Schizosaccharomyces pombe: one gene and its partners. The main gene of each other region encodes a partner of the protein of the gene in region 3 in a complex. Each region holds a gene or a part of one and is shown on either strand. Other genes may lie near its edges. The genes, in order: mrpl17, rml2, mrpl7 and mrpl38.

Region 1 (8,259 bases), on a different chromosome or scaffold from region 3:
CGGTTTAGATTTCATTGTTTTTTGTCTTTTATTGACAGTTATAATGAAGAAGATTTCAGTTATTTATCAGATATAGGCATTACTGAAAAGACGCAAGAGGTTTCCTCAAAATTGCCTGATGTTCTTTCTAGCGATGAAGAAGAAGATTCGGCTGAAAACAAGGATGATTTAGAGGGCTAAAGGATTGATTGTGAGACTGAGGATTTGCAACAAACTGATACCATAAACTTTGCTGTTTCTTTTAAAAAATTAGACTACAAACGTGTACATATATTTTTGGAGAATACTTGTTTCTTTCTTTTTTTTAGAATTGATTATTGGTTTTGGGTTCTATTGGTATTTTTATAGTTTATTAACTTCTACTTGATTATTCCAAATGTTAAGACCGTATGGTGCAATATACAAAATAAAAAATGAAAAAATTAATGAAATAGAAACTAGATGAACGGAGGAGAAAATTAAAAAGTCGAAAATGCGTGGTCAAGTAGACCAAAATGTAAACTATAATCTCATAAAGAATTTAAATCATCAACCGAAGCAAAATCAAAAGAATTTCTTTATAGTGGTTGGCGGGCACTAAAAGGAATCACTCGTCCCAATATAGTACCAGTAACTTGCATACCCTGCTCACCATGTCGAAATGCAGCAGCTATTAACTCTCTAGTACGAAAATACGAATGGCGACGTTTTACGGGTAAAAAAACTTTTTGCTCCAAAGGCTGATTGCCAGATTTCTGGAGAACATTCATAATGAAACTGACTTCTTCATCAGAATCAACAGGCGCTTGATGCTGATTATCTTCGGATTCTTTTGCAGTTTCGAGGATTTGTCGTTGTATTTTTACTTGGTTTTTCTTTTGACAAGCTGCAAGCAAAACATCGTATGGCTGAGATCTTCCCGGAACGGCTCGTTTGCTTGACATTGAATGCGTTTTACATGTGAGAGATCTGGCGCACATTTGCCCATTAGGAAGCAAAACACCGCATTGCTTTTCAACATCCACAGGACCTTAATTGAATGTTAGTATTAAAGTAAACAGGTACTCCATTCTCCATATTGAACAGCATAAACCAACATACCTTTGACCTTTGGATTCTTCTTCTTGCTAGCCTCTTTCTTGGGAAGGGCGGATTTTGTAGGCTTTTTGTTTTCTTCTGTCTTCCGACGTTTTGGAGGCATTTCAGGATTCTTTTGACCATTAACTGAATTCTTTTCATGATTCCCAGCTGAGCCCTTAGCTGTCGATTTAACACCATTTTTGATGGGTGCATTATTGCCATTGTTGACATCTTTGTTTAAAACCTGAGAATTCGCAACAGGCTCAAATTGAGGCTTAGGAGGTTTAATTCCATTGCATGAGCTATGATGGTCCTCAATATACTCTGATAGGAAGGGTCGGTCGCATTTTGTGCATACAACATAATCGAGTTCTGAATTGTTAGGATATGACCCATACTGAGGAAAGGAATCAGCAGGTAGTAAAATTTGAGTTTGATTCGTAATGTTAGAAGTTATTTCATCCTTTACCTGTGATTCTGTATTATCAACTCTTTGATCAGCGAGTACATCTTTGGGTAACCCATCCGGGTATTTCAACAAAACTTGCTCATTTCTTTCCCAATTTTCTGGAAATAACTCCAAAGTCTGTTGTTCTGTTAACATTTTATTGATAAGAACCGAGTTTATAAACAGAATTCTACAAAGTTGCCCTTTGTCAATTCCTTTGTAGTGGGACTAAATCTGTAAGTCAAGTGTATGTACGGTTTAATGCTTCCAGAAAGCAAAGTCTATAATTGCATTCTAATGAACTTTCAAAGGATTATGCTGACACATATCATTTCTGATAATTACTAAATTATACAGACATTGTCTTTAAGGGCTAGACTATGACTGACAAAAGAATTTTTGATCTTGGAATTGAGGACAAACTACGGATATCAATTTTGATTAACAATTCTATTTTTTTAGGTCCCTTGAGCTAAACATAGTTTATTATTAAGGTGCGCGCTTTTCCCGTTTTCTCGTACACTGCCAAGAATCCACAGATCATGAGGGTGAGTAATCATGAAATCCGGACTCCAAAAGTAGGCGGCTGAAAATAAAATACTGGCAGAATCATTTGCAAATAAAAAGATAGAATAAATAAGGAGAAATACTTAGTGAAATTCCAAAATTATTTGTTTTTTTTTACATCGTACCAAAACATCAAAAATTAAGGAGAGAAAAAAATAGAAAACGTGAAAATTAAGCTGAAAAATGCAGTAAGATTGTAGAAAGATTGAATTTCCAAGATGAAATGTTCCGCTGTTTATTTTCCGTAGATTTTACATATTGTTTGCTCAATTGAAGATTACAAACGATCGGAAAGTATGTTTTTTACAGAATCCCATGAAGAAGGAGAAAGTTTGTTTTTCAGTTCATCGTACGTACACCAAACCCAGTCATAAACGTTTTGCAGGTTAGGTACATCTAATCCATTTAATAAACGAGCACGTAACAAGAAGGTCTAGAAATAACTGGTTAAACAAAAAATCAACCCAGATAAAATGAGAACAAAAAATCCGTAGTCTTACCTTTTCTTGTTCCGTTTTTAGTAATGCTAATGGATGACGTGCAACTAGCCAAGTCAACGAATTTTCGTCTAATATATTTTTTAAAAGATCTTGACATAACTACAGTTTGTTAGAAAGGCCAATCTGCAGACTATGTAAACAAAAATTGCAAGAGTATTTGATAAATTATTTAGCATCAAATCAATAGTAAGTAGTCTCTTGCACTATATTGTGTATCTTGGAATCGAATTTTAAAAAATGTACTTACCAGATGCAGCGCCTTCTCGGAGCTTGTAACAGGAGTGTTAGGAAATTGCCAACCCGAGCTTTTAGATTTTTTTACCAACAAGTAAAGGGACTTGTCAAGCGAGCGAAGAGTGCTTCGCTCATCGTTTTTCGTATCAGCTTCTGTGACTCTGGATTGCAAGTGAGTTGCAGAATCCAATAATTTGTTAGACTCCATCTCTTTCCTTTCCTTTCCAAATATCGTCTCAAAGGGTGATTCTTTACCTTTTAGTGTTTTTTGTCGTTCTTGCCAATCTTTTTCACCCACCGATCCCTTCTTGAAATAAAATTCTGCAGGTAAAGGATCACTCAGCTCATTCCAAAGTTCCGCATTATATTTATATATAGATTTTTCGAATTCGGATGGTTGGCGAGTAAGAATTGGCGATCTAATTAAAATTGTACCCACTGAACAACCTAAGATATGTTAGCAATCATGTACATCAAAGGTAATTTTTTTATTTATATTTAATATCCCTAGATAATTCATTTTCATTTTTTAATTCTGTACCTTTTAGAGGAGTCGAGTTAGACAAGGGTTTAGAGGATTGAATGGAATTTCGTACAGAAATGTGAAATTGACGCGAAAAAGACCTCTGCATATTTATAATATTTCTCTTCAAGTACATTGTTTAAACTTAGTCAATTTACGCCAAGTAAATCTCCAAATTTCGGCTTTGTTTACTAATCCGGTAAAGACCACTTGGTAAAGGCAATCGACGTTTCGCTATGGCTAGCACTACCACCTGTTTTACCAGCGTACATTACACGCTTCGTTAAGTACTGTAATATTTCTTAGAGACTCTGTTGCTATCGTTAATATGTTTTAATAGATTTCTTTGGATTTCGTTATAATTCAATTTAACTCACTTAGAATGGGGAATTGCTGACGCAGTAAACCTTTCAATCCCCATAACAATGTCTGCTTCCGTCGAATTAAAACGTAAGAAATTTGGCTAAATTCTTCTAACGTGTGGATAGCTACAGAGAAGTTCAGTAAATTTCTCGAGGAGTACTCTTCGGTACCGGTTCGCGCCGCCATTATTAGCATTTCTAATGGTAAGTTTCCATTCGGGCTAGAAGAGTAAATTTTAAGTTAGTTGAAGTTACTAAATGATTTAGAGAATTCATTTGACGTGAAAACAATGGTTGAAAAATCAGAATCGATAGAATCTGATTTTAAGAAAGTCCGTGAATGTTTGCTCGGATCTGAAGAACCTGCATTTGTCCTCGTTTATGATGATAGCAAGAAAAATCTATTACAATTAATTTCCTATGTCCCTGAAAATGCGAATGTTCGCAGGAAGATGTTATATGCCTCTAGTCGTGCTGCATTTGTAAGATGCGTAACTCTTGCTAAACTCGACGAGTCTTATTTCGCAAGTACTCCGGAAGAGTTAGATTATCAGCAAATTATGAAGAGCTTAAGCAAGCAAGAGGACCAAAGTCCTTTACGACAAGATGAACTCGAAAGGAAAGAGTACAATGAGGTAGGTAAACTGTATTGGGGTGGATGGATTTTTCATACTTCTTTACCGTGGCTCGTAGAATTTATAGCTTCTACTCTTTTATTTGCATCTATTTTAACAACTATGTAGTCTATGCAATCCTCAGTAACTCATAAGCGTCCTTTGGTGACCCGTGGTGTTGCTATGTCGATTGATGATAAAGCCTTAAAGGCTCTTTCTGATTTAAAATCATCTACAGAAAACAATCTTGTTATTTTGGTAAGGAAGCTATGATACTTTTGCTATGTATGGTGTTGCTAACCTCCTTTAAAAGTCTATTGACAAAGAAGTCATAAGTTTAAGTCAAGAAAAGCAAAATATACCTCCTTCTGATGTGAAATCCTTCTTTTCTTCCACCGAACCTAATTTCGCTTTCTATTCCCTGCCAAAAGACGGCTCTTCAAAAATTTGTAAGTACAGATGCAGGATCATTTTATTAACAAGGTCTAGTGTTTATATACATTTGTCCAATGCAAGCAACTGTCAAACATCGAATGGTTTATTCTTCTTCCAAACTTGGTCTTTTGGATAGTATTAAAGCAGAATTGGGTATTGTTATTGATGGCAAGGTATGTTTATCCCTCGTAGTAGATTTTATGCTCACATGACAGATTGAATCGAATGATGCCGCTGATATAACTGAAAAGGAAATTCTTCATGCTGCTGGGATATCAAGTCCTCAAGCAGAAACAAGCACCACCAAAACTGGTTTTTCGAGACCTCGACCCCCTAGAAGACGTTAAGCAAGTATATACAATTTTTTGCGGTTTCAAATTTACAGACTTTTTAGTTTATCAATCTTTTTCATGACATTTCAAATTCGAATTAAAACAAAATATACTACCAACGCCTATATTGAGCACACGTTGCATGCTATATTAACGGTCTCACTTTGCAATGCAAAATGTTATACTTCAATAAATAGAATAAGACAATCACTAGATCTATACATTGTTTCCTCTTTTCTAAAAGCGAAATCCTTAAAGACTCCATTCTTGACGAGTGTTAATCTTGCAAACATATATTGTTCAAACATTAAAGAAACACTATCCTTCATTAACAAAATAAATACTCTTTTGGAAATTGTAATTGACCTCAAAAGTTACTTTCTGATTTCCAAAAGATTAGATATGATATAATATTAAAAGCATATGCACCAAACCATAACTCCTATCATAAATACATAACTCATAATCAGTCATTTGAAAGAGACTGTATACAGTTAACAACCTTTTCCCGTATTGTCTTGCTTATTTTATGTTGCTGAGGTCCTTCAAGCGACAGAGTACCATCCGATAACGCAGTGTATACAGATCGACAGATATTCTTATTGAATAGAGCAAATTGATCTTTAGATATTTTTGCTTCTCGATAATAAGGCTTCAGAGCTGCGTTAACTAGCCGTTCTATTCGATACTTCGTTTCATAAGAGACTTTTTTGCTGGAATGCACCAAATCATGTCGGCCCGAAGTGCGTCGTTGATGCATACTCGTATCATTAACTAAATGATTATCCACAATTTCTCCTGGTTCCGAAAGTTCAATCAAATGGTCATCCAAATTATCATTACTGATTTCCCTAGGTGATAGCGGTACGTGAGATGGTCGAGGAGAGAGATTTGAGAAAAGAGGAGTCAAGTGAACGTCTGAAGTTCCATCCGAAGCTTCAGAGTGAGAATTCTTAATCTCATGTTGTAAACTTAACATAAAGGAAGTATCTATTCGTGAGGTGCTTGGCTGGTTGATGTTGCTAATTAAACTAGCGAGAAAAGAATTCTCTGATTTAGATGATGAATTATTGCCTAATACTGTAGAAGATCCTGAGGATTTATTAGAACAAGGAATGTGCCGACGAGTAGGTCGCTTTTGCCTCCTGTCGTGACTCGTGGAATTTGGGTCATTCACAAATCGAGTATCTTGTTGATGATGTTCTTCTATAGGCGTTTGCTGAAATCGACCCGACGAAGGTCGTGGGTTACTAATGGTAGCCTCAGTGGCAACGGAGTGGACCGATGAATTCGCATGTAGAATTTCATCAAAATCATTCCATGCTTGCTGCTCAGAAGCATTCGTTACTGGTGTCTGCACTACTCGTGGCTGCTCAACTGGCTCATTGAGCTGGTTGGAACGTAGACGTGCACTCTCAATACGACGTCGCAAAAGTTCAGACGAGACGTCACGAGCAGGCAGTCGTTCTTGTTGCATACCATAATATGAGAGATCTGAATTCAATGCATCCCAAGCTCGATTTCTAATGGCATTCCAAGCACGTGTCCATGCACGCTGCTGTTGTTGAGAAACTCGCGAGGCACGAGCAGCTGCTCCTACCCTTCTGCGTCTTGTCTGGCCTCTTCGAGAAAGAGAAATACGTGAAGAGAGTGTTTCATTTTCTTGATAGTTTAACAATACACAATTAGGGCAATAGAACTCTTCTATAGGTACTGCATCCATGTTTAAGCAATATGTATGATATGCATCATCACACCCATCGCACAACAAAAGCACCTCAGCATGATCAGAGCGGCCACATATGACACAGCGACAGGTTTCGGAACCTTCGTCTTCAAACGGCTCGCCAGCATTGGCAACGCTTTGGGTTTTCTCCTCCACAGGGTATGCACGATACCAGGGTCCCTTCACGAATTCAAGTACGTCAACTTTAAGAAACTCCGTTCTACATAGAGGACATGTATTTGCAACTCTGCACCATGATTCCAAGCAGTGGTTGTGAAAATAATGTCCACAAGGAATTTTCGCAATTCGAAGACCATCCAAGGTCGACGAAATCGAAGCGGGAACACTACTGGAATCCCATTGATCTAAGGGACAATTTGGTAAATTACTAAGACAGATGATACACTCTTCAGAGCTATCAGAATCTGCCGGCTTTGGATCTTCTTCAGCGTTCATTAATGTGGGGGCCGGAACCACAACGGGGCATTTGGTGGTGGGGGCGTAAAGCAGTAGTTATACAACGAAGGTGATGGTAGAAGGAGAGAAGGAAAACTGGCTCTTTAAGGGGTTCAACATTTTGTTTAACGAGTTTACTAACGTTATTTTGAAGTTACGCAAACGAGAGAGATTTGTAAAGTATATTAACAATTTCCACTGTACTACATTATCATAATGAAAGTGATCGATCGACAGTATTGGGAGCAGAGTGGAAATGAATAGTTTAATAACAAGGAAGGAACAGTTTAAACGGTTAAAGAGTTTGAAAGTGAAAGAATAATTTTAGAAAAAGAATTATCACATATATTATAGGGAAGATATAGAAATGTGAACGAACGATACTTTATTATGGTAATGTTAATTTCATATTGAATGAAAAGAGAATGAAGAGGTGAAAGAAAAGGCGATTAATACATAACATATCGTGGCAAGGAAGAAGTATGGGTTTATGAGAAAATAAAGTACTAGACGATATGGAAATCAATATCGTTGAGATATATGAAAATCGTGCTGCGGAAAGAAAGAAAATTCGCAGAAAGACTTTTTGCTTTAAAGTACGGTCGTACGACGGTTCTTCTCTTGTTGAACCTGATAAGAGCGAAGGGCAAAGATGGAAAAGATGACAATAAGTGAGAGGAGCAAAATAATGAGACGCTTTTTGAAGGAACCCTTCTTCTGTCCATAAGTAGTACCTTTCAATTCCTCAGCAGGAATTTCCGGAGTTCCCTCATCGTCAATATCGGTAATTGTACGGCTCAAAATACTGGCAATTTCATGGGATTCACTTAAATCACCAGTATGAGCGCTGAAACTCATAAAGGTGGTAAGAGGTAATTCGACTTCATTAAGATCAAAACATTTAATAAAGCTAGAAGAACCTTGATAAGCAATTTCAAAACGTAGCTTTTTGGCATTTTTGTCATATTTTAGTTTACCCAAATTATAGTCATTTCCGCGAACG
Region 2 (7,997 bases), on a different chromosome or scaffold from region 3:
TGAGAATGATGCTCTGTTCAATCTAGACTTCTAATTTTAACTACTATTTTATATCAATATCAATGGATGTTTTAGTAAACAAACATATAGTCTTCTGCTATTGTTCAACAAATTGAGATTAATTGGTATTCCATGTAGTGTATTTTGATGCGTAACGTAATGTTTAATAGCGATTTTAGTGTAGCTCACTGTCTTGTAAGCTACGCAGTTTGGTATCTGATTTAAGGATACGTAGAACTGCGGTGAGTTTTCCTTGTGATCTATTATATTACAATACACAGGTTGTATAAGTAGCAACTGAGTATAGGTATTGTATTAACTGGGTTATAATGTTACCTATCACTAATATAGCTCATAACTGAACTGAGGAACGAGGTTCAGCAGTAGCTCTATTTATAGTATTCAGATAATATAGATCTTAATAGATTATCATTAAGATCAATCTCCATATCGTATCATACATGGTACGATATATAATTAGAACATGTGACATATAGTGATACGCAACGTAGTGTATTATAGCGTAGTGTAGTATTGCTGACAAGTATGTTAAATAAAGCAGTTGCTTCTAACATCGTTAACTACTTCTCTGCAGATGCAATTCACTCATTGATCCATAAATCGTTCATCTTACTACCAAGTCATGTCCTTGACAGTATGGAATATTGAATCCATCAAAGATGTTGCTGAAATGCTTGGGATTGGCAATCTTGCCGATGAACCAGCAGCAGCTATTGCAATGGATCTCGAATATAGAATTCATCAGGTGGTTCAGGTAGGTTTCGTGAAAGTAGACTATGAGATTTTACTTTCTTTGGAAGAGGCTAAAATAACTAAAAAATTGTTGCTAGTTTTTTACGATGCCTTTCAATTTGCTAGATAGTCTGCTTTATTCTGACATTAAACATAATTCTCTAACAGTATTTGATTTAGGAAGCCACTAAGTTTATGGTTCATTCTAAAAGAACTGTTTTAACTAGCGCAGATATCTCTTCAGCGTTACGGACGTTGAATGTTGAGCCGTTATACGGCTTCAATAATTCTCGTCCATTAGAATTTCATGAAGCCGCTGTAGGTGCAGGCCAAAATTCCCTTTACTACCTTGATGATGAGGAAGTGGATTTTGAAAAAATCATAAACGCTCCTCTCCCTAAAGTCCCTAGAAACATTTCTTACAGTGCACACTGGCTGGCCATCGAAGGTGTGCAGCCAGCCATTCCTCAAAATCCAACTCCCTCAGATCACACAGTTGGAGAATGGGCATCCAAGGGTACTTCAGGGGTTATGCCAGGTGCTTCAACTGCTGCTAAAGAAGCTCGAAACGGTGTCACTTCGATGGACAACGTTGAGATAAAACCGTTGGTGCGACATGTGCTATCCAAAGAGTTACAGCTTTATTTTGAGCGTATTACCAGTGCATTGCTTGATGAAACTAATGTTGAGCTCCGTGATGCTGCCCTATCGAGTTTACGTGACGACCCCGGATTACACCAACTTTTACCATACTTCATAATGTTTTTATCGGATTCTGTAACTCGAAACTTAGGAAATCTTGTGGTTCTTACTACTTTAATGCACATGGCCTGGGCCCTTCTTGATAACCCCAACCTTTTTGTAGAGCCTTACGTCCAACAACTCATGCCATCCATCCTTACTTGTTTGGTCGCGAAGCGCCTTGGCAGTGATCCTAATAATCACGAGCATTATGCACTAAGAGACTTAGCTGCTTTTTTACTCGGGATTGTTTGTGATCGATTTGGTAATGTGTATTATACATTAAAGCCTCGCGTTACTCGCACGGCACTCAAAGCATTTTTGGATAACACCAAGCCATATTCCACTCATTATGGTGCCATCAAAGGCTTAAAAACTATGGGGAAAGAAGCTATTAGAGTCCTCGTCGTTCCCAATATCAAAGTTTACGAAGTCCTAGTTCGGAAAACCTTGGAAAAAGGAAATGAAGAGGAGATTTACGAGGCCAATAAATGTATGGATGCTTTGTACGACGCTTTGCTATTACTGCGGGATGATCAATTACCAAATCAACGAACTCTTCCGCCAAATGCTAGTGGTCTTCTTGAGAAGAACGTTGGCAGTTTAATGGCTGAAAAGATAATGAAGGAAAACGATACCTCATTGCTTCTTGGTCTGCTAGAATAGTCTTCGTTGGGCATAAAATATTTGTTTTTGAACAATTTAATCTATGAATCTCGGACTTTAAAATATTTACCCAATTTTCCACACTACCTAAACCATTATAGGTTCTATAATTAAAATGTTATTGATATTCATGTTACATTAAAACAGGAAGCACCGAATAGCTTTCAAATGAATAAAAATAGAATGATGATAATATTGATATAGTTTATTTCATGTTTTGATTAAAGATGTGAGACTAGCTGACAATGCCGGGTTTTAAATGAAAGAAATACGTAATAGAACAGAAAGGGGAAGGAATGCTTGATTATGCCAAAGAATGCGAATAAAAGTAAACGAATTAAAGCAATTAAACTAGGTGAGGGAATAGCACCATAATAAATAATAATACTTTATCAGATATCGATGGAAAAATAACTGCACTAATCGCTATCGAATTCATCATTGTCCCCCATATTTGTGATTACTAGACGTTTCATTCCTTCTTCAGCACTGTCCTCGTCTGAAGATTCAGAACTGCTGCTTCGTCGATTGACAAGATAAGATTGAATATCATGAGTAGGTGATCCGCTACGAGATTCAAAGCCGTCTGATTGAGTAGTTTCGGCTCTGGAGTCTGCTCTTGAATGTATTGACATTCCCATAATGGAAGGTGCAGTCCCACTATGGGTTGAGCTGGCACGTGAAGACTCAATCATTGAGATATATGTTGGTGCAGTATTCGATGTCGAAATTACCAATTCGTCCTCATCGTCATCCTTACCTTCGGTAGCAGATAATCGTGGAGTAAGAATGGTGTGCTGAGGAGCCATTGTACGTGAATGAAGCGAAGCAGGACGGGTGTGATAAACACCATGATGCTGGCTAGAAAATACCCTTGAGCGCATGCCTCCTAAGCCTTTGCTGGAAGACTTCCCATTTTGTGATGAACTTTTGATTGATGGGCTAGAGTGTAAAGGAGCCACACGGCCTATATCACTCCAGACAGTCGCCTTTGCACGGCGTAAACTCTGTACGTAAGAAAAAGTAGAACCATTTGACTCATGGTTGCTATTAATGGCATTCGAAGTTGGAAGGGAAGACCTCGAATATGGATCATCATGGCTCGATCGAGTAGCTAAACGTTCCATGCGATTAGTCTTCTGTCTAGTAATGATTATTATCTATTTATTCCTTCTTTGAATAAGTTGCTTGTAGAGTAATTCCAATTAATTTTTAAAAATTTCACAGACAAATGCCGGGATTAGAAAACGAATGGTGTTAAGATAGACAATCTTTTATTTGATTAAGCAATCAGCTAAAACTAATTAAACAAAGCTCATATATCTTTGAAAAGCGCAAGAATTAATGTTTCGTACTGAAAATTGCAAATGTGCGGAAGCTATGTTTACATGTCTCATTCTCGAACATACGGTGTCCCAGAGGTAAATCTTATTAGGTTTTACTGTAATATCCCATAAATTTCTGTAAATAACAATACGCAATTCAATGTGCTTTAGCGTACTGTAGATTCTTACACAAACGAGCCTTACATGCAAAAAGCCGATTTAATCTCCATTTTCCTTCTTAATTTTAAATACAAATTACATTTGACTTCCGATCTTCACTCATTATAGGAGACTGTACCGATTACATTGCCTATAGGGATCTTTCATCTCTCGTTATTCTCGTATAGCAAATTATAGCGCGTCGTAATTTTCTTTGGACGGCACATTCACTCTTTTGGAAACTGCATGTCTGCGAAGCAGTTGTAGAGAAGTAGATTTAAATGGATATCGTTGCAGAGACTCAGATTGAAGAAGAATCATTGATACCCGACGCCACTAGTACTCCATTAGAAACGGAAGTGGTGGCTGATACTACATTGCGTAAAACAGCTTTACATCTAGCTGGCGTCGATAATCTTTCAGAAGAACAAGTCAAAGGATTTATTTCAGCTTATGCTCCTGAATCTCAATGTACAATTGAATGGATTAATGATAACGAATGTAAGAAGCGAAAACTGGCAAAGGGTTAGTCTAACTCTATAACCGCGTATAGGCAACGTTGTTTATGCGGATGATGATGTTTCACGAAATGCTTTATTTCATTTAATTATGGAGTCTCCGACAGAATTTTCAGAGGAATTGGAATATCAAACGAAACCACACCCAACTGTACCGACGTGTCAATTCAAAATACGTTACGCCCGCTACGGAGACAAGAAGGTTAAAAGCGCACATCTTTACTCGAGATATTATCTGTTTCACGGTGATCCTCGAGAAGAAAAGGCTCAGAAGAGCAAATCTAAAAGGTATAACTTGTGAAAACCAAATTAGTCCGGGTGCACTCATACTTTTCAAAAATCATTTCCTCTACTTTTGAGAATCTCCTTTTACTCAATTTTATATTCAAATTACTAACACTTTCGCACAGTAGAAATCAAGATGAAAGGGGTTCGCCATTAGATGAACGACTAGGTCCTAAAGTGTCTGACCTTACACTGATGGAAAGAATATTCCAAGTTCGACGCAAGCCACGCAAATCAAGGAGAGACCGTCGTTCCAGGGTTTCCAAGCGTTAATTGTGTTGTAGAGAAATATTAAATACCCAGTTTATCCGCTTTTAAGTCGCTTTTCGCTGGACGAAGGCAAGAAAAAATTAATATGCTAAATTAGCTACAATTTTATAAATAAAATTTTTTTATTTAGTTGGCCATATTAAAATAAAACCGTTCTTTTCTGCGTTTAATAGAATACTCTTTTGGTACCTGAATGATATCGATAACCCTTTTAAGGTAGATGTAAGCAAACGACAATTTTGAATGGGATAGTCCTTAGCTTTAAGCAACGTTGTGATGAACAAAAATTACCAATACAGATTTAAATTGTAAGAGCTAAACTCTTAAAAAATGCTTAAAATTTTTCGTCGATAAATGACGGTCGACACAAAATAACTATACATAAATGCATCTGGTCCACAAATGGATAGGTAATAGCATCGACTATTAAAATGGAGAAGGGATCATGAAAATTGAAATGCATTACGGTAATGTAAAACATAGAAATGTAAAAGTCATGAAGACAGAGATCATTAATAAAATGATTACCGCTTTTCCTTTCCACGAGGACGATCGCGGACGAGTAATTTATTAACATTTTTACCTCTTCTTGTTTTGTATCCACCTTTAGCCAAAACACCCCAAGGAGATTGAGAAGGTTTATTACCAATGCTTTTACCACCACCACCACCATGTGGATGGTCACATGGATTCATAGCTGTACCTCGAACCGTAGGACGAATGCCAAGCCAACGTGAACGACCGGCTTTACCAAGCTGGCGATGTTGCCAATAAATATTGCTTACAACACCAATGGTAGCAAATGATGTATCCAAAATCTTTCTCTCTTCACCACTTTGTAGACGAACGATAGCATATTTACCATCAAAAGCTATGATACGAGCGCTACTGCCAGCAGAACGACATAGCTTTGCCTTTTGATTTGGATTTACACCAATGGCATGAATGACAGTTCCTATAGGAATTAATCTGAGAGGAAAACAATTTCCTGGCTTCAAATTTTTTGCTGCAAAAGTTCCATCTTCAATTTCAGCAGCTAGGACGGGGTCCATTTCTACTGGCTCGCCATTAGAACCAGTCTTCAAAAGCGATCGAAAGCTCTCAACTGTATCGCCTTCGCGAAGCCCGTCACAAGCCAAAATATAACTTTTGTTGGCTGTTTCGGAATTCAATTTTTCAACAAGGGCAATGTGACCACTTCTACCAGGGTCATACTCAATTCTAATCACTCGATGAACACCCGGTACTTTTCTTTCAAAGTCAACAAGACGAATACGTTGTTTGTGTCCACCACCCTGATGCCTTACAGTAATTCTTCCTGTTTCATTTCTTCCACCTTTTTTTCTTTTTGCAACGGTCAAAGGTCGAAAAGGTTTCCCTTTCCAAAGGTAATCACTAACTGGTCTTTTTAAATGACGAAGACCAGGAGATATAGGTTTGTAAGTTTTAATCTTGATAAGAATTAGTAAAAAATGAATTAAGGCTTGATAAATAAAAAGTAACCCTCGTGTTAATATTACATACCTCGAACTTCGTTTTTGGTCGTAGAAGCATCCCTACATCGTAGGGTCTCTCGGAAGATTCAATTTTTTCACCGCTTGTAGATGCGGTAGAGGCATATCTGAACAGCTTTAACGCATGAATTTGAGGAATCAAATACCCCCGAAATCGATTATAACTCAACATGGGGATTTCCAACTAAACCTATGGTAAGAACTCACAATATGATGGACTGCGAATTAACGAGTTCAATCATAATTTGCGACGCTCAGTGCTAAAATCTTTACACAATCCAAGGTGTCGTTAACTGTGTAAATAAATGAACATTGATCTAGGGAATACAACATAGAGGAAATTGAACACATTAGCTATAATAATGAAGAACTTTGTTTTATTGTTTGATCATCTGTGTAGTAAATATTTTATACATTGTAAACCCGATTCTATACGTTTGAAAGTAATGGCAGGTCAACTGAGAATTTCAACCACGTTATAATATATTGGAAATTTTGATAAATTGAATTTGCTTTTCCTTCGAGTTGAGCAAAGTTAAACTAGAATTTACGACACCTGTAATAAGCCTGCTGAGCATGAAGAGTTTAAGGGATTCAAGGTATCAGGAAAACATTGCTTTCTCACAAAACTCTTCTCACATTCCTTTTTGGATGTGTGCTTAATTAATTACTAAATAAGTTCACATACCAAAAAAATCTTATTTAATATACAGTTTCAACGAAAAGTTTCAACTATGGAAATTTGTTTTGTTAACTCGTTCATTTTCGTTTCAAAACAATTCGAAGATGGGGTTGATCTGCGTTTGTTTAATATAGCTTATTAGTTTGCTTATGAAAGGTTTCGATACTATACTCTGTGTACACTGACAAAGGTCAATCAACATGAAAAGCCTTGAGATGCCATTTTCCAAAAAAAAAAGTGAAAAACACTATTTGATTGACTAGGATCTTCCAAATTCTTACAGATATTAGGTATTTTGACAACATCAAAATTGTCAAGTTTGCAATTCAAAAATGTTGCAAGTAAAATAACTGGTGTCAGGAAAAAAGGACTAATATTTATTGACTTCATATTAATTAGTCAATTGTAGAACAAGATATGTGGTACCCATGACCTCTTTGTTTATTGAGTACTTCTATAATGACTTACTTCAACTTTGCCTTCACCAACGCCAACGCGAAAACAGCCAACTTCAAGTAGGCAAAAGGAACAGACCGATTTGAAAGCATGATTGAGCATCTTAAAGGATGATTCAAAATGGTGGAAATAGCTATGTGGATTCCAATATGAATGAAACGCAAAATGATACAACTGACAACTTTGATGCTGAAATGCAAGATCTAAACGGGTATATAAGCGAAATTGTCGATGAGGCTAGGAATGTATCTGAAGTTGATGCAAAATTTTTGGGAGATACCTCTGCCCTTCAAGCTGAGGGCCTTTGGTCAGACGAAGAGTCAGATTATGAAGGCAGTGACGATGAATCAAACTTTAGTAAAACAGCCTCAAGAACCGAGGACGACATTGCGAACGAGGAATGGGAAGAAAATTTAAAGGCAGTTGCTGGATTTAGAAAAGTCCGTAAAGGTCATAAAGGTCGAGGACGTGTTAGTCGAGCTGATATGCTTCCCTCGGTGGAAGTGCAACAAATGTTGAGTTTAGCGAATCATTTGTTTGCGCAAGAAGGAAACTTCGACGAAGCCCAAAAATTAGCTGAAGAGATTGTTCGTATTGATAATAATGTCATTGCGGCTTGGAAAATGCT
Region 3 (8,298 bases):
AAGTCTTGTTTTACTATATGTGGCACGGCTTGTTTGGATGAGGAATTTCTATTCGTAAAATCATCGCGTTCGATGGCTCTATTTCATCTTTGTCAAATTGTACATGACAGAACTGGCTTCATTCCTTCCTTTGTATGTAAACCACATTTATAGAACTTTTCCACGATTGCATTTTAAACTCGCTGATTGATGAATTACGCGCAATGCATTCTTTTGAAACTTTTAAACCCTAGTCACTTCCATTCCCGTTTTTTTTGCTTCCGACGTTTATTATTATTTGTAAATTATTGTTATGGTTGAATTGCCGACCGTATCTCGAAATTTGTTTTGGTAAACATTGCTTGGTTTTATGTTCGAACCATTGTCACATCAAACAATTTAAATTGAAGTCCCACACATATATTTTTGGCACTTATAATTTTGATTTTTTTGAAAGATCTGTACGATCCGTCGTGATTGTGTTACAAACCAAAAATCGCTTTCAGAATGCGCATTTGCGGGTTGCTAATTTTAGTGCGCGATTCTTGCCGTCCTCTGAAACCGATTGAAACATTGAAATTGTTAAAACAGTACTTTACGTTCGTACCTTAAACCAGTAGTATCTGAACGGTGGTTAACGACATTTGTATTGCAGATAAAGAGAAAGATTATTATTCACTTGCTACACATGGTTTATACGAAAGTTTTAGATTTTAATATCTGATTACAATTTCTCGTCGATATTTAGACTCCTTGTGGAACTCGTATATGTACGTAAGTGTTATTTAATAGATATCTGAATCTGTGCCGGGTGAGAATTGCAATACCTATATAAACAAGCAGCCTTTACGAATTTTTTGGCAGCTTCATTTTGGTAATGAGATTTAGTGAAACTAATATCGGTTATAAAGTGTATAGTTATATTGTTACGTCAAAGAGCACGAGACTAAGGGAGGCAGGTTAAACGTAAATGCTACCAACTTTGAACTTAGAAGTTATACGTTGTACAACCACTTTCCTGCATTTATGGAATATTATACCTCGAAGGAGGTAGCAGAATGGTTGAAAAGTATCGGATTGGAGAAGTATATCGAACAATTTTCACAAAATAACATTGAAGGACGACACCTAAATCATTTAACCTTGCCTTTACTGAAAGACCTAGGCATTGAAAACACCGCCAAAGGCAAACAATTTTTAAAACAAAGAGACTATTTACGAGAGTTTCCACGTCCATGTATACTGAGGTTTATTGCCTGTAACGGGCAAACTCGAGCAGTTCAATCACGAGGAGATTACCAGAAAACACTCGCTATTGCTTTGAAAAAGTTTAGCCTTGAAGATGCTTCAAAATTCATTGTATGCGTTTCACAGAGTAGTCGAATTAAGCTGATTACTGAAGAAGAATTTAAACAAATTTGTTTTAATTCATCTTCACCGGAACGCGACAGGTTAATTATTGTGCCAAAAGAAAAGCCTTGTCCATCGTTTGAAGACCTCCGCCGTTCTTGGGAGATTGAATTGGCTCAACCGGCAGCATTATCATCACAGTCCTCCCTTTCTCCTAAACTTTCCTCTGTTCTTCCCACGAGCACTCAGAAACGAAGTGTCCGCTCAAATAATGCGAAACCATTTGAATCCTACCAGCGACCTCCTAGCGAGCTTATTAATTCTAGAATTTCCGATTTTTTCCCCGATCATCAACCAAAGCTACTGGAAAAAACAATATCAAACTCTCTTCGTAGAAACCTTAGCATACGTACGTCTCAAGGGCACAATCTTGGTAATTTTGGTCAAGAAATTTTGCCAAGAAGCTCTCGGCGGGCTCGCCCTTCCGAATTGGTTTGTCCTCTTTCCTCTCTGAGGATTTCTGTTGCTGAAGATGTTAACCGACTTCCTAGGATTGATAGGGGATTTGATCCTCCACTTACTGTATCTTCTACTCAGCGTATTTCTAGACCACCATCGCTTCAAAAATCCATAACCATGGTTGGTGTGGAACCTTTATACCAGTCCAACGGAAATGAAAAATCGTCGAAGTATAATGTTTTTTCAGAAAGCGCGCATGGCAACCATCAAGTACTTTCCTTTTCACCTGGTTCATCCCCATCATTTATTGAGCAACCATCCCCAATTTCTCCAACTTCCACTACAAGTGAGGACACAAATACACTTGAAGAGGACACTGATGATCAGTCTATCAAATGGATACGTGGTGCGTTAATAGGTTCAGGATCGTTTGGACAAGTTTATCTCGGTATGAATGCATCTAGTGGTGAGTTGATGGCTGTTAAGCAAGTGATCTTAGATTCTGTTTCTGAATCAAAAGACCGCCATGCCAAACTTTTAGATGCATTAGCGGGTGAAATTGCTCTTCTACAGGAGTTGTCTCATGAGCATATTGTCCAATATCTCGGTTCTAACTTAAATTCGGACCACTTGAACATTTTTTTGGAATATGTTCCTGGGGGGTCGGTTGCCGGATTGCTTACAATGTATGGAAGCTTTGAGGAAACGCTAGTCAAGAACTTTATTAAGCAAACCCTTAAAGGCTTAGAATACCTTCATTCACGCGGCATTGTACACCGTGATATAAAAGGTGCGAACATCTTGGTTGATAATAAAGGGAAGATTAAAATTTCGGACTTTGGGATATCGAAGAAACTTGAACTAAATAGTACCTCTACGAAGACGGGTGGTGCTCGCCCTTCTTTTCAAGGCTCTTCTTTTTGGATGGCTCCCGAAGTGGTGAAGCAAACTATGCATACGGAGAAAACAGATATTTGGTCTTTGGGATGTTTGGTAATCGAGATGCTCACTAGTAAGCACCCTTATCCGAATTGTGATCAAATGCAGGCCATTTTCAGAATTGGGGAGAACATTCTGCCGGAATTCCCTTCTAACATTTCTTCATCGGCCATAGATTTCCTTGAGAAAACGTTTGCCATAGATTGTAATCTTAGACCTACAGCATCAGAGTTGTTGAGCCACCCGTTCGTTTCATAAGCCGGCTAAGTTATGATGAAAACAGAAACATTATTTTACGATCTATCTTTTTTATGTTTTTTTGCATCATTATCATTGCATTTATGCCATTTAGAACTAATGAATTTATTTAACCTATAAACCGTATGATTTAAGTTGCTATATTTTTCTACAATATTCATGTTTTTAATGATTTTGTGAATGTCCTTGATAAATACCATTATGAGTTTAGTTACTAAAAAAATACTATTTTACATGTTCAGTTTGTTTAAAAAATATCCATTGATTATTCCTTTTCAAGAAAAAACTTTTTATTTTTATTTACTTTGTGAAAACGATAACATAAATATATAATAACACATATCTACGGGAATTCTATCACTTAAACAAGTAAAACTCAAAAACGTATGTATGCATTAGTCGTAGAGAAGGGGATTTTTTGTTCACTCCTTGAGGAGAAAAGATTAGGTATAGTAGATATAAAATAAATTGTCTACTATCCAACATAGCCTTCCTTATTTCCATCTGTAAATGGAATAAGACTGCTGACGAAAAAACGAGCCAAACGGGTATCTTTGGAATTGGTTGTTATATTTACGTTAAATCCAGGTAAAGAGTGCGGATACATCTCATAAACAGCTTCAATTTGGGGAAATAAAGGCATGACTTCACTTGGTAAACCAAAAGATATGTTTCCTGTTTGATCTCCGCTTGTAGGACTCAGGCCCTTGAAATCATGAAGCTGAGGAAGAACCAACTCAGATAAGATTGAAAGAAATGTATACATAGATTCTCCAGTTAGAGTAACCTTTACACCTACTGGCACACCTGAACGAAGTTTCCAGGGAGAAACGTCCTTACGTGCATAGACTATTTCGGGCTGCAAACCCGTTATAGAACGAAATGCCATCATTGTACTCAAGAGCTGCGTTTTGTCAACGAGTGCTTCTTTATGCATAGTGCTGACGACAACTTTGCTAATAGAAGGAAGGTTTTTAGGATTAACGGACTCCTTTACTGGTAACAGAGGCTTATTACCACGCATTTTCTGAGGAGGCCGGTTTTTATAATAAGGGTTATCACCAATCCACCTTGGAAGTCTGTCTTTCTGTGTATGTTCATCTGTGCTTAACGCTGTATCTATGTCATGTCGATATGAAGCAGCTAATACATCCGGTAAAATGGTATCATGCAAGTGTTCTTGTAAGCGATTTAACATGGTGGGTCCTGGACGAAAATACTCAGAATTTGGATCCCATCCTGGTAGGGGCCTATTCTTGCCCAGTTTTTGCTTTACAGTGATGGTTCTTCGCTGCAGAAAGTTAACTGATATTCTGATATTTTTTCTTATCCCAAGCATTGTTAAAAATTAAAAAATGAATTAAAACAAGTATAATGACAAAGAGAAACCAAAAGCGACAAAAATACAACAGGTTACTTTCTAGGGAATTTTCGTGAAAATCCTTTTGCTTTATAAGCAGATGAGCACTTGTGTTATAATTTACCAATAAATTATAGTAAATAACACAAATCCGGGAAAAAATATTTATAATCACGAAACAAGGAAATTGTAAAGACCAATGTCCACAAATGATACCTGTTTCTCAAATCTTCAAAGGAAGGTTTTAACAAATGGTTATGGATAAAACAGGTAAGTCTCGCAACCAAAACAATTTTGCAATGGATCTTAGGTACTAGGGCTGGAAGATTGCTCGCGTTTGTCTAGTGTATTGTCATGGTTAGTGTACCGTATTACCTAGTGCCAAGTAAGGAAATCCGAGGCATCGTTATAATCATATGCCACACGATTTTGAGTGCCAAGTGTAATAGAAAGTATTGTACTTGTAACTTACAAACTTATTTAAACAAGTTAGCTTTAAAGCTTTAAGCTGATGTCTTTCTGTTTTTTTTTATACGTCGAAAAACAAATGTTTTTCCTTCAGCTGGTACATAAAAAAGCAGCTAATTGCTCTTCTTTTACAAGATGATTTTATTTTTGTATTTCTCAAAATCGTGCCAAATGGCATGCCACACATATTCAAATTATTGGAAAGTATTATTACTAACTGGCTCTACAAACTATTTGGATAGGATAGTGATGCATGTCATAAGATCACTTTCATGCAATAACAATACTAATCCAATTCGTTCTTTTGTATTCACTTTGTTCTTGTTCGTTTTTTACCTTCTTTCCTTTCAATATAGATGTGTGATGATGAATGAGAGATGCAAGAAGCTTAGCTCAAACACAATCCTGAAAGAGTAAAGTACTCAACATAAAATAATGCATTTATACATTTCGTACCTTTATCAATCTATTATGCAACAATAAAAGCATTTTATCCAAAAGAAAACAAGTTGTCTTAATACTTGAAAAGATCAATAGATTTACTTTTAGTTTGGTTTTCTAAAAAGAGAATCACACTTGATAAGAAATTGATTGCCTCGAATAACTCAAAACTAAATTATCTTAAACAACAGATACCGCCAGTGTATACTCAAAAATCATAGATATATGTTTCGAATTCGTAACACTTTAATGAAAAACCAAGCATTTCATAGGAAAGACAAATTTACACTTTAGTTTTGTGTCCAGGCATTACGATAACGTCTGGTAAAGACATAAAAAGAGGTATAAGATCTGGCACTTGAGAATCGCCAGTCATTACAATTTGGATACAGAACAAGCTCTAGAAACTCAAGATAGTGCAGTAAATGTTTATAAAGAGCATTTCTGCTTAGAATCACAAAACAAATTGCACTGAGTAACCAAATATTGAATATTCACTGTCCAAGCTCATATGCTTATTATCAATCAATTGGCAAGCTGAGGATATCCAACAAGTCAGATAACTTCATAATTCGAGGCTAAAGATTCTATTTAAAGAATTCAACGCAGTCCTATGTAAACAATTAACCCATTCTATGATATATATTGTAACATTGGGAAGCGCCTTAATTGCTTGTGTTTAGGTCAAACCAGAACAGCGCTATGATAACTAAACAACGTTTTATTTTCCCATCGACCATATTTTAATTTAAGTGTCGTGAATACCCGTACACTTTAGGCCATTTGATGACTATTCATACTTATATAAAAGTCAAAGCCTTTCTTTAGGCAAGTGAAGAACCATTTCTAATTCGTAAGCACAGTGTATAAACAAAGAAATCCGTGATACATTATTTTGGGTTATTTCACTTCGTGAGAAATAAAGCAAGAAATTTGTTCGTTGTTGGCAGCAAAGTTAATTGACTGCTTCTAACAAACTTCAGAATTTTTAATGAAACATTACAATCAACAATACAGTTTAATTATTGCTGATGTTAACCATTTTCTTTAATAGCTCAGACAAAACCAAATGTTCCGGAGGTTCCGTAGCAGGCGTAGAAAATGTGTTTAAAGCAGGGCTTCTCAATGGGCGGAATAAAACACGTTCACCTTGTAAATGTCCGTTTTGCGGAGATCCGTTCAAGTGTGTCTCACAAGAACTGAGATTCCCAGACACTAAAGGATAAGAACTAGTACTTTCACTAAATGGTGTGCTAGTCCTACTAAAACCAGAATCGACAGCTCTAGGACTCTCATTTGAAAACGTGCGTTGTTGTAATGAATGAACAGAGCACCCGGTAGTTTGAGCAGGTATAGGTTGAACAGGTCCAACGAGGCTATCCACCATCCTCCCAAATTGCAGACTTGCAATACTAGATGACTGATTAGCTATGGATGGTGTTCCAGATAAAAAAGGAGATGTAGGAGAAGATTGAGCAGATGGAAAAGAAGATGAGGACATTAGTGAATAATTCGATAATCCCATTCCAGTAAAAGCCTGTCCGCTAAATGGAGATCTGTGGGGTGTTGGAGGCGAAGAAAAAGATGTGCTATTTGGTGTACTTTTCGCTCGCATATTCAGTAACACATACAAAGAATCTAACGCAATTGTTATCAGTGCGTCAGAATCATCAACTTGGGGACCTTTACCTTCCTCATTAAAAGGATAATGATTTGAAAAGTAAAGCCACTGTAAAGTATCACGAGGAACTCCACAAACCTTAACAAGAGGGAAAAAGAATAGCAGGCCGATACTTTTAGAAGAACAGCGTACAAGAACAGAGTCGTCGGGAGCTGTTTGATTTGTGTTCTCCAAAAAGAAGCTTAAACGATTGAATATCTGTGAAAGTCCAGTTCGAATATCTTTAGTAAGCCAGACGTCCCCATTTTGCAAACACGAAGAAGTCAAAACACACAAAGGTAGAAGCATTGGCATAAGTACAGCATTTGAAGACAGAGATCCATATTGACGACGTTCGACTAGATCATCAAAATTACCGTCCTTCTTACTCGACACACCAGAGGTAAGAGCTTGTAAAGGAAGCTGGCTATTCACTGAATCAGAAAGGACTTCAAAAAACATAGTTGTAGTTTGTGTAGCAAGCTTTAAATTCGGATACGACTCACCGTGTTCTCCAGAATCACTAAAGCCAATAAATGGAGCTAAAACCCTTGCAGCCAATGCACAATATGTCATCTGTAATAAAGAGGATTCTGAAAACAAGCCGCTTTTAAGTGACTCAGAAAGAAGAAATCGAACTCGTTTGAATAAAGGACCAGAGTCTTGTATGTAGTCGGCATCAGTATTACTAAAAGCAATTGCATACAGACGCAAAAACAGGGAAATGGCAGAGGATTCCTTATGATATAAACAGGGATTCGAACCATCATTAGTTTTGCCGAAGCAACGCTTCAAAGCAATAAATAAACTAGTCTTAGCCGATGAGGCCGCAACATTGTTAGGGGATATGGATGACAAAAAGAAAAAAGAAATAGCAGGTAAAGCTTGAATGAGACGTTTATCCTCTACATTAACGTTACCCTTCAGGGAACTGCTCTGGCCAGAGGACGACTTTCTGGATGAAGATCGAGCATCGGCAACTTCGATTAGCCCAAGTTGGTGAAAATGAACACCATAATCGGGTGCTACGTTAGCAGCCATAACATAGTATCTACGGGAAACTTGATAATCAGGTACGTTTGGAGAACGAACCTCAGCCAAGTAACGGTGGACATCGCCAATGTAAATCAAAGACCTATACACACAAAGAACCAAATACTGTGGTTTATGATCAGTTAATGCAGGTTCGTAAGTGAGTGAATTAGAAGAAGAGTCTTTCTTTAATGGAGAAGAAGAGGATGATGGAGAGCCTGAAAGTAATCTTTTCACAGAGTCAACTTCCAAACAAGAATCTTCAAATATGGAGGAAAAAAGAGCAGCAAGCCTTGATTGCGAATTGGTACTTGTTTTCCAATTATGAGAACCTTGCTTTCGCAGAGGGGAC
Region 4 (7,185 bases), 1.8 Mb from region 3:
AACGTTATACCCATACTTAGTTGGCTACCATTAATGGTCCTATTACTACTTGTCAGGTTTGGATATTTAATGACTCAGATTAAATGATTTAATCAACACAAACCAATATTTTTGAAATTCAAAAATAATGAGGCTTCAATTTCTCAATGAGAAACCAAAAAAAATTATTTTAGATAGTAACCCATTTAGTCATAGAAAAAAAAACCGTGTTTGATTATATGTACAATTTATCAACTCATTTATTTTTATCAGGTTCTTAAATCATAATGATAAACCTAGGCGATTCTATTAGGAAGCAATATATTAAGGACTAATAAAATAAACAATAAATATTAATGATTAGGAAATCAAACGCACCAAGATAATCAAATTGATAAACAAACTATAGATAAATGACAGAAATATTGAATCAACAAAATTGCAACTCATTCAAAAAGTTATCAATTTACACTTAAAGAATTATTTACCACAAAACATACTGTAGCGTTAGCATTTGTTGCTCCTGTTAATAACGACTTCTGATCTCGATGAACTCAAAAAGTTCGAACCAACATAATATAGCGAGTGCTTTTGATCATTCAAGAATTAGAAATGAATGCTAACAATACTACATTACAATTACGAATTACTATATGTCACATGTTCTGATTACCTATCGTCTTACAAATGATAACAATACGATGTAGATCCACTAATAAATTTTTTAATTTATTAGCTAGAAATGATAGATGTAAAATCAAAGGAACAACGTTCTTTAGTTCAGCTGTGGTGGTTTGTTTAGAGATAAATTACATTACCGCCTTCATACAAGGATATCCGTAACCCCCGTTATCATACAACCATATGTACCGCTATGTAGTGCACATACGAAAATCAAGTAGTCTAACATATCATTAATGATAATTACGAACTGCATAGCTAAAAAAAATAAAACGCAATATCAAACTTAACGAAAATATTTTGTGTAAACGTTAATAAACTGTAATTATTTTAAGGAAAAGTGCTTATTCACGTTGTTAAAATAAAAAAGTACAACCTACAGATGCGTACACAGAAAGAAGTGAGTTTATTCGTTCCGCGAACTAGCTTGGCAGTAAATTTTGGGGAATTGACTTTTGTACATTATAGCATACCATTGTGGATCAATTTTATGTTCATTGCATTTTTTTAGTAATTATTACTTCTTAGAGTTCCTTTTTTTTTCAACAAAACCTTCGGATTTACGTCTGAGGTGATCGATCTTTTCATGCTATGTCTGCTCATGAGGTGTCCTCCACAAAAAACTCAGAAATTGAAAGAATTATTAAAGAGGCAGAAGATGCGGGTCCTGAAAATGCACTTACGTTAGATCTATCTCATCTAAACTTGCGGGAATTACCTTATGAACAATTGGAAAGAATCCAGGGTCGGATAGCGAGACTAGCGCTAGGCCATAACTTTATAAAGAGTATTGGTCCTGAAATCCTAAAGTTTACTCGTCTCCGGTACCTAAATATTAGATCGAATGTCCTTAGAGAGTTTCCCGAATCTTTGTGTCGACTTGAGTCACTTGAAATTTTAGACATTTCTCGCAATAAAATCAAGCAACTGCCAGAATCCTTTGGAGCTTTAATGAACCTTAAAGTTCTTTCAATTTCTAAAAATCGTCTTTTTGAGCTTCCCACCTACATTGCACATATGCCGAATCTTGAAATTCTTAAAATTGAAAACAATCACATTGTGTTTCCTCCTCCGCATATCGCTAATAATGACTTGCAAGATTCTGATATGCAGTTGTTTATTGCCAATATAAAGGGATATTTGTCGCGAAACGAATCAGTCTTTAGAACGCGAAGTGAAAGTACTGTTTCCGCTGCTTTATCCGCTTCAGCTAATCTTAGTCACTCGGAAGAAAATGACTCCTCTGTGGTTGATTCTTACTTATTTAGTGCCCCATCAGATACTAGCCATGCGGTTTCACCTGGCATGCTGACGTTTGTCACGCCAAGTCCCCATTCACATTCTCCTGCCGGGCATCAACAGTCCACACCCAAATCGACTTTGTCAAAGACAAATGAGAACTCAGAAGGAACATTGTATGATTCAAATGTTGCTCATGGATGCACTCATCCTCCATCACTTAATCAATTAAACAAATTTCATCTAGATGCGTCGCCTAGACAAGCCCGTCCTCGTAGGTCAGTTTCTTTAGCTACTGGCCTCAATTCTCCTTCTGTTTCAAAACCACCTTCTTCTGCTACAGGACCATTGTACCATTCACCCCAAAGCTCACTCACCAATTCCTCCGTCGCTAGTGCAGACGTTCAAGAACGTACTCACAATACTAACGGCGCTAGCCCCATTCAAGACCAAATTTCAGAATTCACTGATCAACATCAAAATCCCTCAAATAATGATGCTGCTTCCACACAATCGATTCTAAAAACAGCTCCAACGCAGTTGAGTGCGAGTGCTAAAACATCAGCCATAAGTTTACCTGAGGTTGCCAAGAAAGAGCGTAATAGAAGCAATAGTACAAATGATGATTACTCTTCTACTAGACTTCCATCGAGTGTTTTACATCGTCTTGAAGCCCTTAAAGAAGCGCGCAAACTTTCTGAGCAATTACCAAATCGAATTTTTGCTCAAGATCCTCATCCTTCCCCTCGTTTGAAAAAAGAAGAAACGCATGAAAATGGCTCCAATTTGACAAATGACTCGGTCAACAGCTACTTCAGTAACATTGGAGGGAGTGAGGTTGAAATGAAGCACTCGGCCTTTGAAAAAACTTTAGAGTCGTCTAGGGGCATATTGTTTTCGCTTTCGCAAGTCCAACAAGCCCTTCGTCAGCAACTTCTTTTTTGCAGCAACCCCGTTGTTTTAGATTCTATGCGTCATGTGTTACATACTGCCAATGTTCAAATTAAGCGGCTAATTCTGTGCTTTGAGGATACCCAACAAAGCAATGATGGAACTGCAAACATTAATTCCATAGTAAACGCTTCATTGTCTTGTATCAGCTCGTTTCGTAAACTAATTGAAGTGACAAAAAAATTTTTAAATGAGCTCACTAGTCGTGCGGATGTCCGATATGTTCGGCTTTTACTGCTAATTCTTTTCGATGCTGCAAAGGAGTTACAAAACGCCTTGGTACCATTGAGTCCATCACAACCCCATAGTGGTAATAACATATTCGCCGATCAGGTACGTCAATCTCCGACAAGTATGATCCGGACTGCATCTGGGCTTACGAACAGAATCGTTAGCGTTGAAAAACCAGCATCAGTGATGAATCCTGAAATTGATAAACAAATACAAGATCAGGTCGCTTTAGCAACAAACAGTGCAATGTCAGTTTTGACATTACTAATTGATGCTGTTCCTAAAAATAACCAGCCTGATCTAGTAAATGAAAACATCGCACCCAATTTGATTAGTAAGTTACGTGAATTGGGATCATTATCCGCCGCCGCCTGTGATGTTACTAGAAAACTTAAGCATCGCCTTCTAACTTTTCAAACGAATCCGGAAGAATTGGAATGGCAGCTTTTTTTGGACGACACTCAAGCATTTGTCAAGTCTATTATTGCAGTCGCAAATTTAGCGAAAGCGTTATCCAGTGAATATACATTCCAAAAAAGCGTATTAGCTGGTCTTTCAGCTGCAACAAGATCTACAAAAGATCTTACTATCTTACTTTCTTCCTCTGCTCGACATTACACTGAGTCATCTTTAGCCACTCCTGTTCCTTTGATGTCCCCAATAGCCCGCGTACCTGCAACACCGTTGTCAGCGGCTCTGGGTTCGGCTGCTCAATCTATTACATCTCCTCTAATCATGTCACCAGCTGCAATTCCGGCGTCAGCCTATAGTACTAATAAAATCGATTACTTTACTGACGCGGATGGGAACGTGGAAGGTTTACAGCGCTAAAGAATTTTTTAATGAAGATTGATGAGGAATAATTGGTAACTCGATAACTCAAAAGCCTACAAAGACTATAAATTTAATGATACAAAAAATGATGCACGATTGAATTTGATTAATTTATTTCTTATTCAAATAACAAAACCAAGGACAAATTGTAAAGGATGATGGTACAAGTAGTGATTAATCTGTTTCCACATGAAAATCATGTACAAAAATTAGACAGAGTGTGTAGTTTTGGGTAGGTACTCTTTGACAAGACAAAAATTTTTTCTAATTAATTGCTTTGCTTATTTTCAAGTTTCATTTCGCATCTTCTGATGATGTCTTCAATTTCATTGATTTCGCCTGAACTCAGTCTGTGGTACTCAATGCTGGAACTATCAGTTGGAACATCAAGTGCTTGAAATGCAAACTTTTTAGCTAAGGAATAGTTTCCCAGATAATATTGTTCTTCCGCTGCAAATTTTGATTGCTCTAAAATATAGGCTTCTTCACCGAGGACGACGCCATTTTTACTAAGATGCTGAATAATCTGTTAAAATCATAGACAATAAATTGGGAGTAAAAAATGAGTAACATACACCAAAACATTGAACTCTTGGAGTCCATCCATCAGTTTCAATGCTTACTTTCTGTTTTAATCGCTTATTCCGTTCAAGCTTTGACTCACTAACATCAAAATCCAAATCAATCGCCAGCAAATCCATTCTTACTAGAACATTAAATTCTTTTGATCGATCAGATATATTTAACAGATAATGGACTATATAATAAAGCCTGCTACAGCTGTATTTTACTAAAAAAGTGTGTAGTAAAAACCTTTTAACCCCACAATGCTTACGAGTAACAAAACTCCAAAAAAGCAAAATCTTAATTGGCTATCAGGTAAAAAGTGTTTGCTGAAGAGACAAGGTCCCTTAATTAGACGTAGAATAGAAAATTAAAAAATATATTTTAATTAAGTGAAATATTAACATTACAATACCCTTTTCAGATGGTTCGTGGAGCAAGAGATGCTATTTTAGTATGATGTTTTGTTCTGAGCTCGTTGGCAACGACTGACAAGATACGGGTTCCCAGAGGCTCACACTCCTTATTAACCAAGACGCAGGCATTATCATCAAAACGAACATAACGACCATCGGGTCTTCGAACTGGTGATTTCGTCCGAACAATGATAGCATGGTGGATATCACCGCGTTTAACTTTATTAGCAGCAGTAACTGATGAACCGCTTCGTGCCTTTTTTACCACTACTACCACTTCATCACCTGTTTTTTAAAAAAAGGTGATGTTAGTCGAATATAAACAAAAGATCACTTCGTGCTACTTACCAAGTGAAGCGAATTTTCCCGCGCGAACTACACGAATGCACTCAGCTAAGGTAGCACCCTTTTCCATCTTATTAGTACAAATAGTAATATTTTAAACTTACGGAATTGTCGATAACTTTGAGTATACCTTTAAGTCCGATCATTGCTAAAGATTCAAGTACTTGACCATACATTCACGTACTCGCTTCCACTATAAATTACACTATGCGTAATATTAGAATTTGGTATTTGACGTTAGTTGGCATATCGTAGTATGTAACACATCGCAAAATATATAAATAAAAACAACTGTTTGTATTAAAAAAAAAGCGATTTGATTAGATGCATTCAAATATGAAATTATTCCAAGCAAATTGTTTGTCATAACCTGTTATCTTGCTTTAACCTTCTGATGTTTTGCTTGTTACACATGTTTTAATCAAATTCTTCATCATGCATGGAGTTGTGGAATAGTCATTAAAGCAAAAATGTGATATTGACTAGCAATTGCTCTTATCATATTAAAATATCATAATGGATTGTATGCTACATATTTGATTTTGTATTACTCGTTAATTTTGTTGAAAGTGAGAGGAGGATTTGGACGTTAGTGAATCCATTTTATTTTTTGGAAGCAAATGAACTATCATTCTCATCTTTAGACGACGCAGTTTGAAAAAATGCTCTGCGATATGTTTACAGTAAACGCCTTACTAATTTGCGATCCGATTATGAATCTCATTAGCCGTACCCGTATCTGAGCTAGACACTACACCTTGTATCGAAACTTTTAAACTTCTTCAAAATTTCAACTATTACTTGTTAAACAGTAAAATAATATTGGATATCGCTCTTAAGAGTAATAAGGGTAAATAAATGGATAAATTAAGTAGACCGGAAATCAGGCAGCAAACTACTCAACAAATGTATGATGTTCCTGAAAACATCCTTGAAATTGATGTATGTTTACTTTATTATTTCGAAATATTTCTAATAGATGTTATTTTAGGTTATAAATCCACAAACTCACGGTATTGGAAGAAACATGTTTACTACTTATGAAATTGTTTGTCGGGTAGGTACCACTGAAATTCATCTTCTGATAGCAGATTATTAACTCATTTTTGTAGACCAATATGCCCTATTTTCGTCTACATAATTCTAGCGTTCGTCGACGTTACAGCGAATTCGAGAAATTTCACGATATGCTTGAAAGAGAGTCCGGTCGTGTTTCAATTCCACCACTTCCAGGAAAGATATTCACTCAAAGATTTAGAGATGATGTTATCGAAGAACGTAGACAAGGTTTGGAAAATTTTTTACGACTGTAAGTATTGAATGTTAATTTTGCCTTATTGCCCCAAAGAGCGTTTTAAATTGCACAAAAACTAATACATTATTATGTAGAGTTGCTGGACATCCTCTTATTCAAACCCATTCTCGTGTTTTATCTTCTTTTTTACAAAGCCCGGAATTCAAGCCTACGCCATAAACCCGCCGCTAACTTGTTTTTCTCCATTTTGCCCTCCAACTGTTAATTTTTGTCAATCTTTTTTTTTATTTTAAAAGAAAAATTTGGAAATCAATCTGTTACAAAGTTTAATTACCATTTAAAATACCTTAGGTTGTTATGAAGTAAGTTTTCTATTGAGGCTAAAATATAGCAAAAATCCGATTCATCTTTTCGCTGTTTTCGTTTTTTAATTTTAAAATTAACAAAAGTAGCTCCATTCGTCAAATTGAGCGTTTAAACGAGCAAGAGTTGGATAAACCTTTTAGCAGTTCTTGGCACCAAGATTATAGTGATAGTGCATATATTTACATCGGCAACTTAGATTTTGATTTGAACGAAGATGATATTTTATGTGTGTTTTCTGAGTTTGGCGAGCCAGTGGATATTAATTTAGTGCGCGACAAAGAAACCGGAAAATCGAAAGGCTTCGCCTTTCTAAAATATGAGGAT

What was found.
Region 1: mrpl7 (region 3) and mrpl17 share a complex: the UniProt entries of both Schizosaccharomyces pombe proteins name them as parts of the mitochondrial large ribosomal subunit.
Region 2: mrpl7 (region 3) and rml2 share a complex: the UniProt entries of both Schizosaccharomyces pombe proteins name them as parts of the mitochondrial large ribosomal subunit.
Region 4: mrpl7 (region 3) and mrpl38 share a complex: the UniProt entries of both Schizosaccharomyces pombe proteins name them as parts of the mitochondrial large ribosomal subunit.

Annotation. Positions count from the first base shown.
Region 1 is NC_003421.2:2,122,194-2,130,452, forward strand, and holds mrpl17 (mitochondrial 54S ribosomal protein mL46), read right to left. Parts: upstream 3,553-8,259; 5' UTR 3,468-3,552; coding exon 3,350-3,467; exon of another isoform or gene 3,256-3,349; coding exon 2,822-3,255; intron 2,674-2,821; coding exon 2,575-2,673; intron 2,508-2,574; coding exon 2,352-2,507; 3' UTR 1,940-2,351; downstream 1-1,939. Other genes in the region: pus1 (tRNA/U2 snRNA pseudouridine synthase Lsp1), read left to right, coding at 9-180; SAGA complex deubiquitinating submodule subunit Sgf73, read right to left, coding at 558-1,009, 1,081-1,663; twf1 (twinfilin), read left to right, coding at 3,757-3,781, 3,820-3,897, 3,961-4,328, 4,437-4,565, 4,621-4,756, 4,797-4,915, 4,958-5,089; ubiquitin-protein ligase E3 Asr1, read right to left, coding at 5,541-7,256; SPOM_SPCC126.08C (lectin family glycoprotein receptor), read right to left, coding at 7,848-8,259. UniProt on the Schizosaccharomyces pombe protein: Component of the mitochondrial ribosome (mitoribosome), a dedicated translation machinery responsible for the synthesis of mitochondrial genome-encoded proteins, including at least some of the essential transmembrane subunits of the mitochondrial respiratory chain.
Region 2 is NC_003421.2:694,328-702,324, reverse strand, and holds rml2 (mitochondrial 54S ribosomal protein uL2m), read right to left. Parts: upstream 6,414-7,997; 5' UTR 6,404-6,413; coding exon 6,242-6,403; exon of another isoform or gene 6,218-6,241; intron 6,169-6,217; coding exon 5,242-6,168; 3' UTR 4,843-5,241; downstream 1-4,842. Other genes in the region: TATA-binding protein-associated factor TAF6, read left to right, coding at 644-775, 934-2,160; protein mug123, read right to left, coding at 2,580-3,287; RNA cap binding protein cbc3, read left to right, coding at 3,926-4,145, 4,198-4,450, 4,573-4,720; transcription factor TFIIIC subunit Sfc4, read left to right, coding at 7,480-7,997. UniProt on the Schizosaccharomyces pombe protein: Component of the mitochondrial ribosome (mitoribosome), a dedicated translation machinery responsible for the synthesis of mitochondrial genome-encoded proteins, including at least some of the essential transmembrane subunits of the mitochondrial respiratory chain.
Region 3 is NC_003423.3:1,735,004-1,743,301, reverse strand, and holds mrpl7 (mitochondrial 54S ribosomal protein uL5m), read right to left. Parts: upstream 4,661-8,298; 5' UTR 4,325-4,660; coding exon 3,461-4,324; 3' UTR 3,205-3,460; downstream 1-3,204. Other genes in the region: MAP kinase kinase kinase Byr2, read left to right, coding at 1,006-2,985; ebs1 (EST1 family protein), read right to left, coding at 6,273-8,298. UniProt on the Schizosaccharomyces pombe protein: Component of the mitochondrial ribosome (mitoribosome), a dedicated translation machinery responsible for the synthesis of mitochondrial genome-encoded proteins, including at least some of the essential transmembrane subunits of the mitochondrial respiratory chain.
Region 4 is NC_003423.3:3,549,549-3,556,733, reverse strand, and holds mrpl38 (putative mitochondrial ribosomal protein subunit L38), read right to left. Parts: upstream 5,391-7,185; 5' UTR 5,387-5,390; coding exon 5,345-5,386; intron 5,302-5,344; coding exon 5,244-5,301; intron 5,181-5,243; coding exon 4,900-5,180; 3' UTR 4,843-4,899; downstream 1-4,842. Other genes in the region: leucine-rich repeat protein Sog2, read left to right, coding at 1,252-3,912; SPOM_SPBC887.08 (uncharacterized protein), read right to left, coding at 4,184-4,432, 4,491-4,616; sorting nexin Snx3, read left to right, coding at 6,099-6,182, 6,232-6,297, 6,353-6,549, 6,630-6,714; RNA-binding protein Cwf29, read left to right, coding at 6,853-6,857, 6,948-7,185. UniProt on the Schizosaccharomyces pombe protein: Component of the mitochondrial ribosome (mitoribosome), a dedicated translation machinery responsible for the synthesis of mitochondrial genome-encoded proteins, including at least some of the essential transmembrane subunits of the mitochondrial respiratory chain.